Linked DNA regions of Oryctolagus cuniculus. The main gene of each other region encodes a partner of the protein of the gene in region 2 in a complex. Links are inferred from orthologs where the notes say so. Each region holds a gene or a part of one and is shown on either strand. Other genes may lie near its edges. The genes, in order: DPF1 and ACTL6B.

Region 1 (4,266 bases), on a different chromosome or scaffold from region 2:
CTGGCCACAATGTGCCAACCATAGCAGCCACTTGGGGGGTGAACCAACGGAAAAAAGGAAGACCTTTCTCTCTGTCTCTCTCTCTCACTAACTCTGCCTGTCCAAAAAAAAAAAAAAAATGAATGAATGAATCATGCCTGCACATAGTGTGCTCCACAAATACCACTGAGCACGAAGCAGGCACAGCTCTGTCCTGAGTTAATCCTATTTCGTACCTGTTTTTCAGATGAGGAGTCAGGTGGTCACAGGGAAGTGACCTTACATGCCCTCAGCCCCTGGGGACTGCTGGGCCAGGCCACTAGGGAAGGATTCATGCACCTGGACTTTGATCCCTCACCTCCTGGGTCACACACACACACACACACATGCACACACACACACACTCAATCGACCCTAAGGAATGCCTAGAAGGTGAGCTGACACACTAAGGCACATTCTCCCGTTTCTCTCTCTCTCTGTCTCTCTCTCCACACACACACACACACACACACGCACACGCAAACGCATCCCCCCTTCAAGAGCACCCTAGTTTGAGAGGCTGAGGGAAATAAACACGCCTGCACACCCCTTGTCCACTAGGGGGCGCTCCAGCGCACAGACGGGGCGGGCCAGTCTTCACCTCCTTTGTCAATTGGTCCCCTCCTCCTTGAGCGAGATCCACTCAAGGCCTCCGAAACTCGTGGTCACCTACACACACACACACTTCTAGTCCCTCCATAAACTCTCCTCCATCTAAGCCAGGTAGGGCCTTGACCCGCCCCTCCACCAGCCGCCGACGGGAGGGGTCGGGTGTCTGACTCACATCTGCTCAGAGGACTAAGTGGGACGCGCTGGCACCCCAAGCTCACTCTGGCCTCCAGGCTCCTTTAGTGGCCACCAGACACCTGACCCACCATGAGCCCTGCCCCCCAGACCCAGGCTCAGCACTCTTGCTCCACACACCTGCAGCCACAGCCTGACCAGCCGCCTGCGGCCCCGACACAGCACACTCAGTTTGACCCAGTGTGGCCTGGGTGTAGAGACCAGGTCACCTCCCAGAGGTCCTGGCCCACCAGCGGGATCTGAGCCCACAGACCCAGGCTGGCCCTTGCCTGACCTCAGTCACCCTCAGACCCCTCCCCTCCCACGAGCTCCCAGCCCTAAGTGGGTGCTGGCCCCAGGAGAAATCGTTACTGACCAGTACTGATGAACCAGTGCTGACTGGACTAATCATCACTGCGTTTAGCCAGGGTCAGGCTCCGCACCGATGGCTTCCCAGTGATCACCGTGTTTAAGCCTCGCTAGGCCTCACTCCCGGGAGTTAAGAACCGCTGTAATCCCCAGTTCACAGATGGTAACACTGAGGCGCGTGGGGGTGGGGGAGAATTAATGGCTTGAGCTGGGTTCTGAACTCCCCAGGGGAAAGGCACTGGCCTGGCCCCTGTGGCTGACCTTGGCCTCCAGGCACCTGCAAGGAGTGGCACCCTATTCCTAGTATTCCTCCGAGGGCCTGAGCCAGGGCCAGAGACAGGGCCCTGAGGGCCTGTGGATCCCATGACTGCGCAGGAGCCCCATCCCTGCCTGCCAGTTTGGGGGTGTCCCTCTTGGGTCTGTCTGTGTGCATGCCTTGGGGCAGGAGAGGAACAAGCGGTTGCCACCCCCACGCACCACCTCGCACTGACTCTGCTCGCACAGCAGGTGCGTGCTGCCAAAGTCCCTGCCCCTGCACAAACCCTGCTCGGCCACCTGGCACCCCCAACCCGGAAACCAGGGGCCAACAACTGGAGGGCCAGTGGTCCAGCCACCATACAGAGTCCTCATTAGGAGGGGTGCACTCGCCCACCCCCAGCTCTCCGCGCTCAAGGTCAAGGCAGCCAGCGCTGGGGCTTGGGGGCAGGGTGGGGGAGGTAGCCCCAGCCCCTTTGTGCGGCGCCGCCAGGCGCTCGCCCTCCGCCTCCTCCACCAGGCCCGGGAGGAGGGGGAGGGGAGAGAGGGCGGGAGCGGCCGCACGCCTGCCACTCAGAGCTGCTGTCACCGCCTGGGAAAGGGGGTGGGGGGCGCCAGGACCCAGGAGTCCGGGATCCCGAGGAGGGAACCAGAGAGAGGTGGAGAGGGCGAGGGACAGCAGGCGCCAGGCTCGGACCCGGGCGTCCTTATCCCAAGCCACGGGGCCGAGAGGAAGCCGGAGGGAGGCGGGCGTGGAGAAGGCAGGGGTTCCCCCGAGACGGAGGCGCAGCCCTCCCGAGGGGAGCCGAGACGCTCGGGCTGGAGGTGCACGGGCCGGGAGAGAAGGGAAGCCGCGGCCCCAGGCGATCGTGGCGTCGGGGCTTCTGGGTGCCGGGGACCCGGGGAGCAAAGGGGACTCGACCGGGGGCCCCCGACATCCGAGCCCCCACCCCGAGGCCAGCAGCGCCGGGGTCGCGGAGAAGGCGGAGGAGGTGTAGAGAAAGATGCTCGGGCGAGGAGCGAGGGGGTGGTGGGAACCCCGGAGACTCAGGTCCGGACTTGGGCGTTCGCGCGTCCAGCCCGCTCCGGGGCGGGCCCGCCGCCCCCAGAGACACCGCGCAGCAGATGGAGGCGGGGAGGGAAGCCCCCACCCCCAGCCCGCGCCACATTCCTTCACTGACAGCGACAAAGAAGAGGCGCCCCCGCGACCCAGGAGGGGCTCCCGTGCCCAGCCCCCGGAGGGGCGGCAAAGGGTGACAGTCCTCAGAGGCACGGGGGCGCGTGGGGGGACCCCCATTCCACTACCATCCGCGCGCTGGGTCCCCCTCCCCAGCCCCAGGGAGGGCGGAGGAAGGGCTGGGGTGCGGGGACTCCGGACCCGGGTCGGGACAGCGGGGACACTCACGACTTGAGCGGGTTCTGAATGGCGGTAGCCATGGCCCGCTCGGCTGGGCCGCCTCCGGCCCGGGGCGCCGCTGCCGCCGCGCGCGGGCCCAGCCCGGCCTGCGCCGCCCGCTCTGCCGCCCAGCGCGCTACGATTTCATTCATTCTTGGGGCTGCGGCGCGAGCGGAGCGGGGCGGGCCGGGGGCGGGGCTCGGCCAATCCCCGCGCCTCCCGGCGCACGACGGGACGTGGAGTCTAGGGGCGCGCGGCGGCGCCCGAGGGCGCCCCTGCCCGGACTACACGTCCCAGGGGGCGTCAGGAGGACCGCGCGCCCATTGGCTGCCGGGGATACAGGGCGGGGCGGGGCTCCTCCCGGAGCATCCTCTCCCCCTCCCCGGGGGGTGCTCTGTTCCCAGCCCGGGCTCTCCATTCCCGGGTGGTTCTGAGTCTCCCTGGGGTCTGTGGATGTCCCCAGGATCTGCGGCGGATTCTTGTCTGAGTCTACTTATCGGGGCGTCTCTTCGGGGTAAGCCAGTCTCTGACAACATGGGGGCTCATCCAACGCCTTTGTTCGTGTATTGACTACATGTGCCAGGCACTGGGAATGCAGCAGCGACCAAAGTCAAGTCGTTACTCTCAGGAAGCTGACGTTCTAGTGGAGAAAGACGATTTTAAAATAATAATAATAAAGGGATCTTTTCAGAAAATGCTGAGTGCTATAACAGAATTAAAATAGATTAGTTTGGGGGCTGGCGCTGTGGTGTAGCAGGTAAAGCCACCGCCTGCAGTGCCGGCATCCCATATGGGCGCCGGTTCAAGTCCCGGCTGCTCCACTCCTGTCCAGCTCTCGGCTACGGCCTGGGATAGCAGTAGAAGATGGCCCAAGTCCTTGGGTCCCAGCACCCACGTGGGAGACCCGGAAGAAGCTCCTGGCTCCTGGCTTCGGATCGGCGCAGCTCCAGCCATTGCAGCCATCTGGGGAGTAAACCAGTGGATGGAAGACCTCTCTCTCTCTGTCTCTGCCTCTCTATAACTCTGCTTTTCAAATAAATAAATAAATCTTCTTTAAAAAAAATAGTTTGGTTTGGAGGAGTGGCTGCACAGAGCGGGTGACTTTTGAGTTGAGCCCTGAAAAGTTGCCAGCCACGCATGACAAGTGGAAGAGCACAGAGGCCCTGAGGTGGGCACAGGTGCTTTGTGCAGAGCTGAGTAGGAAGACGTAGCTGGGGCGGGGGGGGGGAGGACCCACCTCCTGAAGGACCATGTGGGCAGCTGATTCTCTCCTAAGTGCAATCAATCATCCCCTACTCTCCTCTTCTTTCTCACATGCGCACGCACACACACACACCCAAGCCCACCAGCAAATCCTGACCTCTCTACAATTCACAGGGCAGGTCCAGCAACCCCCCATCCCTGTCCAGCATCGTCCCTGCATGGATCATGGTGGCGGCTCCATC
Region 2 (4,357 bases):
CAAAGGAAGACCTTTCTCTCTGTCTCTCTCTCTCACTGTCCACTCTGCCTGTCAAATAAAGAAAGAAAAAGAAAAAAGAAAAACAAAAAAGAAATACACGAAATCTGTTCTCTTTATATTAATAATTTTTTTAAATCATGGAATTGCTTTTTTCTCAGAAATATGGAGAGAGAGAGAGACAGACAGAGCTCCCATGCATTGATGTACTCCCCCAAATCCTTCAACAGCCAAGACTGGGCCAGGCTGAAGCCAGAAGCCAGGAACTCAATCCAGGTCTTCCACACGGGGGACAGGGATCCAAATAACTGAGTCATCACTTGCTGCCTCCCAGGGGTGCACACTAACAGGAAGCCGGAATCAGAAGCAGAGCTGCGACTTGTACCCAGGCACTCTGATGTAGGATGCAGGCATCCCAAGTGGCGTCGTAACCACTATGCCAAATGCCTGCCCCTCAATGATTGACTTAAAAAGGTGAATTTTATGTCATGTGAATTTCACCTGAGAAAGAGTAGTGCCTCAGGTTGTGAAAAGAAGAAAAGAGTGGCTGGTGCTGCGGCTCACTAGGCTAATCCTCCGCCTGTGGCGCCGGCACACCTGGTTCTAGTCCCGGTTGGGGTGCCAGTTCTGTCCCGGTTGCTCCTCTTCCAGTCCAGCTCCCTGCTGTGGCCCAGGAGTGCAGTGGAGAATGGCCCAGGTTCTAGGGCCCTGCATCCGCATGGGAGACCAGGAGGAAGCACCTGGTTCCTGGCTTCGGATCAGCGCAGTGTGCCGGCCGCAGCGGCCATTTGTGGGGTGAACCAACAGAAGGAAGACCTTTCTCCTCTCTGTCTCTCTCTCACACTGTCTAACTCTGCCTGTCCAAAAAAAAAAAAAAAAATCTAAAAAAGAAAATAAGAAAAGAGCAACCAGCAACAAACTTTGAAAGTTAAGGATGAGATCGGTGAGTAGTAACTGACTTAACAGATTTACAAATGCTGTAAGGCAGTACTGGGAAAAGCCAGGAACAACCTGTACTGAGCTTGGAACCCTGAGAGAACTAGAAATGGGCGCTGTCAGCTGGCTCTGGACGTGGGGGTGAAAGGAGAGCTAAAATCAGATTGTTTAAAGCCACTCAAGAAACAGAAAAGCGATCATGGATTCCCCAGCTCAGCCCTGATTAGCATACATAGTAACAGGAGGCTAAATAGTGAATACTGATCTTTCAGGAAGTCTAAGCCAGAACTGTACTTAAAGGTGGGGAATGAGAAGTATGTGTGATATAGGCTAGAGGAGGAGAGAGCTCAATGCTCTTTTTTCTAGTAGGAAATTCTTAGATGATGCCTAATATAGAAAACCTGCAAACAGCAATGTAAGTGTGATATTGGGAGATACGGAAAGAAATACAAAAAAAAAAAAAAAAAAGATAACAGGGAGAAAAGCAATGGCATTTGGAAAAGGGGAAATGGAAGAGGCGGCAAGAACTGCAGTGTTTCTTCTTAACATGTTTTACAAAGCAAATCGACCATATGTACTACAACTATTTTCAAGTTAAAGGATTAAAAAAGAACTGGAGAGGAGAGGGGCTTATAGAGCAGGAAGAGAAAGAGGTAGAGCAAGAGGAAGACAGGTGGCCCAAGATGACAAGGCTGGAAGGACTGTCTGAGAAAGGACAGGTAAGGGGTGGGAAGACTGTGCTGGGGCCCCAGGGCACTCACCGGGGCCTCTGACATGAGCACGGGGTGCAGGTTTGGCTCAGACTTGACGTGTTTGCTGTAGGTGTGATCCAGGATGGCTCGGAAGCACTCCCAGTCCTCAACTGGGGCCAGAAAGACACAGGTGAGGCGGGGAGGGGTCAGCGACGGGAAAGGAAGCAGGGAGAGACGCCAAGTCCAGGGGAGGGGGAGTTCAACTCCAGAGGAAAAGCCCCTTCCCCACTCCCGGGAATTTGGGGCTCCTGGGCTGGGAACCAGGCAGCTACAGGGGGCTCTGAGGAGGTCCCTGGGACTTGGACAGTTGTGAGGAGGACTCCGTGGCTGTGAGACAGAGTCCCACGGGCTGGGAGTGGGCTCCTGGTCTGACTCAGGGTCGGGGGGGGGGGCCCTTACTCATGCCGTTCTTGAGGGGCGACATGACCTCCGCTCCATCCCGAGGCACGTGCAGGGCATTGGTGTCAATGTGGAAGATCTTCCCCTTCTTCTCTTTCTCCCCCTCCAGCTCCAGCCCGCCCCCCTCCTCCGCGGCCAGCAGCCCCACCGTGGTGGGGAAGTCAGCCTGGGTGGGAGGGGGCAGCATGGGCAGAGAAAGGAAGATCACCCGGTTACCCGTTCAGCCCCAGGGCAGGGTCCTCAGCCCGCCCCTGGCTCTTCTCCCACACTTGCTCAGCAGAGCGTGTGGGCTCGGCTGGGAGAGCCCTGGGTTAGTGGCGAGCCTGGGGAGGATTTGGGAAGAGATCTGAAAGTCTCACCTTGGGACAGTCCTCCCCAGCATACCCGGCGCGGACCGAGAAGGAGCCAATGTCGAAGACCAGCGCCCCCACCTCATCTGTGCGGGGAGACAAGCAGGTGAGGAGACCTTCCCCAAACTCTGTCCTCGCGGACAGATCCGAGAGGAAGGGGGACAGGGCAGAGCCACAGTCCGAGTGGGGGCCTTGGAGTGGGGGTCAAGCCGCCAGAGTTCCCTCCTACCCGGTGGCCTTGTTCAGGCCACTCTCGGGGCTGGGAAGGACGGAGCCAGGGGTCGGGCGGAGAAGGGCTGGATAGTGGAGAGGCTGGGCCCGGCGCGCCTGGGGCGTCCCGGGAAGACAGAAAGTAGGGGTGGCACGGGACCCAAACCTGGGGTCGGACTCGCTCGAGCGCCGAGGTGACAGGCCCCGGGGTGCCCCGAGCTTGGGTGGCGCGGATACGGGGCGCAGGGCTGCGCGCGAGGCCCCGGAGGCCCGGGACCGGCTCACCTCCGCCGTAGACGCCCCCGCTCATAGTGCCCCTCGGTGCGGCTCGCGGCCCGTGGGCGGCGGCGGGATCAGCACCGCGGCGGCCGGACAGCTCCCGGGATCCCGGGCGGGCGGGGCGCGCGGCGGCCAATCGGGAGGCCGGGTCCCCCGCCCCCAACGGCTCCGGCGATTGGCTGCGAGGCGAGACAATAACCCGGCCGGGGGCCGCCGCTTTAAAGGCGCAGACACCTTCGCGCTCGGCGGCGGGGAGGACCCCAGGAAGACCAGCCCTAAGCAATGGGCGGCAGAGAGGAGAGTAGGAGAACGAGGGAGACCTTGTCCTCCCCGAGACCAGGATCCCACAGGGTGACTGATGGGGACCCTGCTGCCGTAGCTTTTCAAATGGGCTGTGGGGTGTGTTGGGGGGAGTGCCACCATCACAAGGTTTCTGTCACACCTAGGCCTGAAGGACGTCTCCCGGGAGTAGAAGGGAAGACAGAGAGGGCGCGACCCGAGGGGGTGTGTCTCCATCTCTTCCCCGTGTCTTCCCACCCTGGTCTCCCTCATGGCCTCTTTTCCTCTCCTGGGCCTTCCACCTACACACGTGCACACATGCACACACAGGCACTCAGCTGGCCTGTCCTTACCCTTCCCTCTCTGCTCAACCGCCTGTTCTCCCTGGGAGGCAATGATCACGGTGTCCAGTTTCTGGTAGGCCCTGGGTTCTTCTGGGCTCCCAGCACTACCAGCATAGCAGGTTTGGATAGCAGAAGTGAAGCAGCAGCTCTGACTGCCTGAGTCAGACTCTGAGCCTGTGCTGGCCAGTGTGGCCGTGTGTGTGTGTGTGTGCATGTACATATGCACATGTGAACATAATGTGTCGGCTGTGTGCATGTGCATATGCACACGTGAATATAATGTGTTGGGGCACTTCTGCACTCCCACCTGCTTGTTTGGGGTTTGGGAGCTGTGAGAACAGAAATGGCACAGGAAGAGGGTAGTGTGACTGCGGCATGTCCCCGAGGGTTCTCTGCTCACTGGTTGCCCCTTGTGGAAAAGACCCAGCTCTTCCCTCAACCAAAGGATGGGCTGAGCTGGCTCATTCATTACTTCCTGGTGACAGTGGCATTGCGCATACCCGCGGTGGGTTCCGAGTCCAGGTCTGGCTCCCCAGACTGGAGCCCTGCAGGTGTCAGTGGGAGGAGTGAGCTGGAGGGGAGGGAAGGAGCTGACCCAGCAGCTAGGAGATTGACATTTTCTCAAGTGACCACAGGCCAGTCACTGACTTCTCTATAATGTGAGGCCTGCATGAACTGCGTGAGCCCGCTAAGCTCCCATAGCCTGTATCTCTTCATCTTCCAAATGCTGGGGGTGGGGGTTTGAAGGGGTGAAAGAGATTCTGTTCATGCTGATCCTCTGCATGCTGTCTGCTGAACACTGAGAAATGTT

Evidence for each region.
Region 1: ACTL6B (region 2) and DPF1 share a complex: the UniProt entries of both Homo sapiens proteins name them as parts of the neuron-specific chromatin remodeling complex. The link is inferred for Oryctolagus cuniculus from reciprocal best matches to the Homo sapiens genes ACTL6B and DPF1.

What each region holds. Positions count from the first base shown.
Region 1 is NC_091449.1:16,352,039-16,356,304, reverse strand, and holds the start of DPF1 (zinc finger protein neuro-d4), read right to left. Parts: upstream 2,978-4,266; 5' UTR 2,974-2,977; coding exon 2,831-2,973; intron 1-2,830. UniProt on the Homo sapiens protein: May have an important role in developing neurons by participating in regulation of cell survival, possibly as a neurospecific transcription factor. Belongs to the neuron-specific chromatin remodeling complex (nBAF complex).
Region 2 is NC_091450.1:42,839,193-42,843,549, forward strand, and holds the start of ACTL6B (actin-like protein 6B), read right to left. Parts: upstream 3,076-4,357; 5' UTR 2,955-3,075; coding exon 2,930-2,954; intron 2,521-2,929; coding exon 2,444-2,520; intron 2,251-2,443; coding exon 2,085-2,250; intron 1,796-2,084; coding exon 1,695-1,795; intron 1-1,694. UniProt on the Homo sapiens protein: Involved in transcriptional activation and repression of select genes by chromatin remodeling (alteration of DNA-nucleosome topology).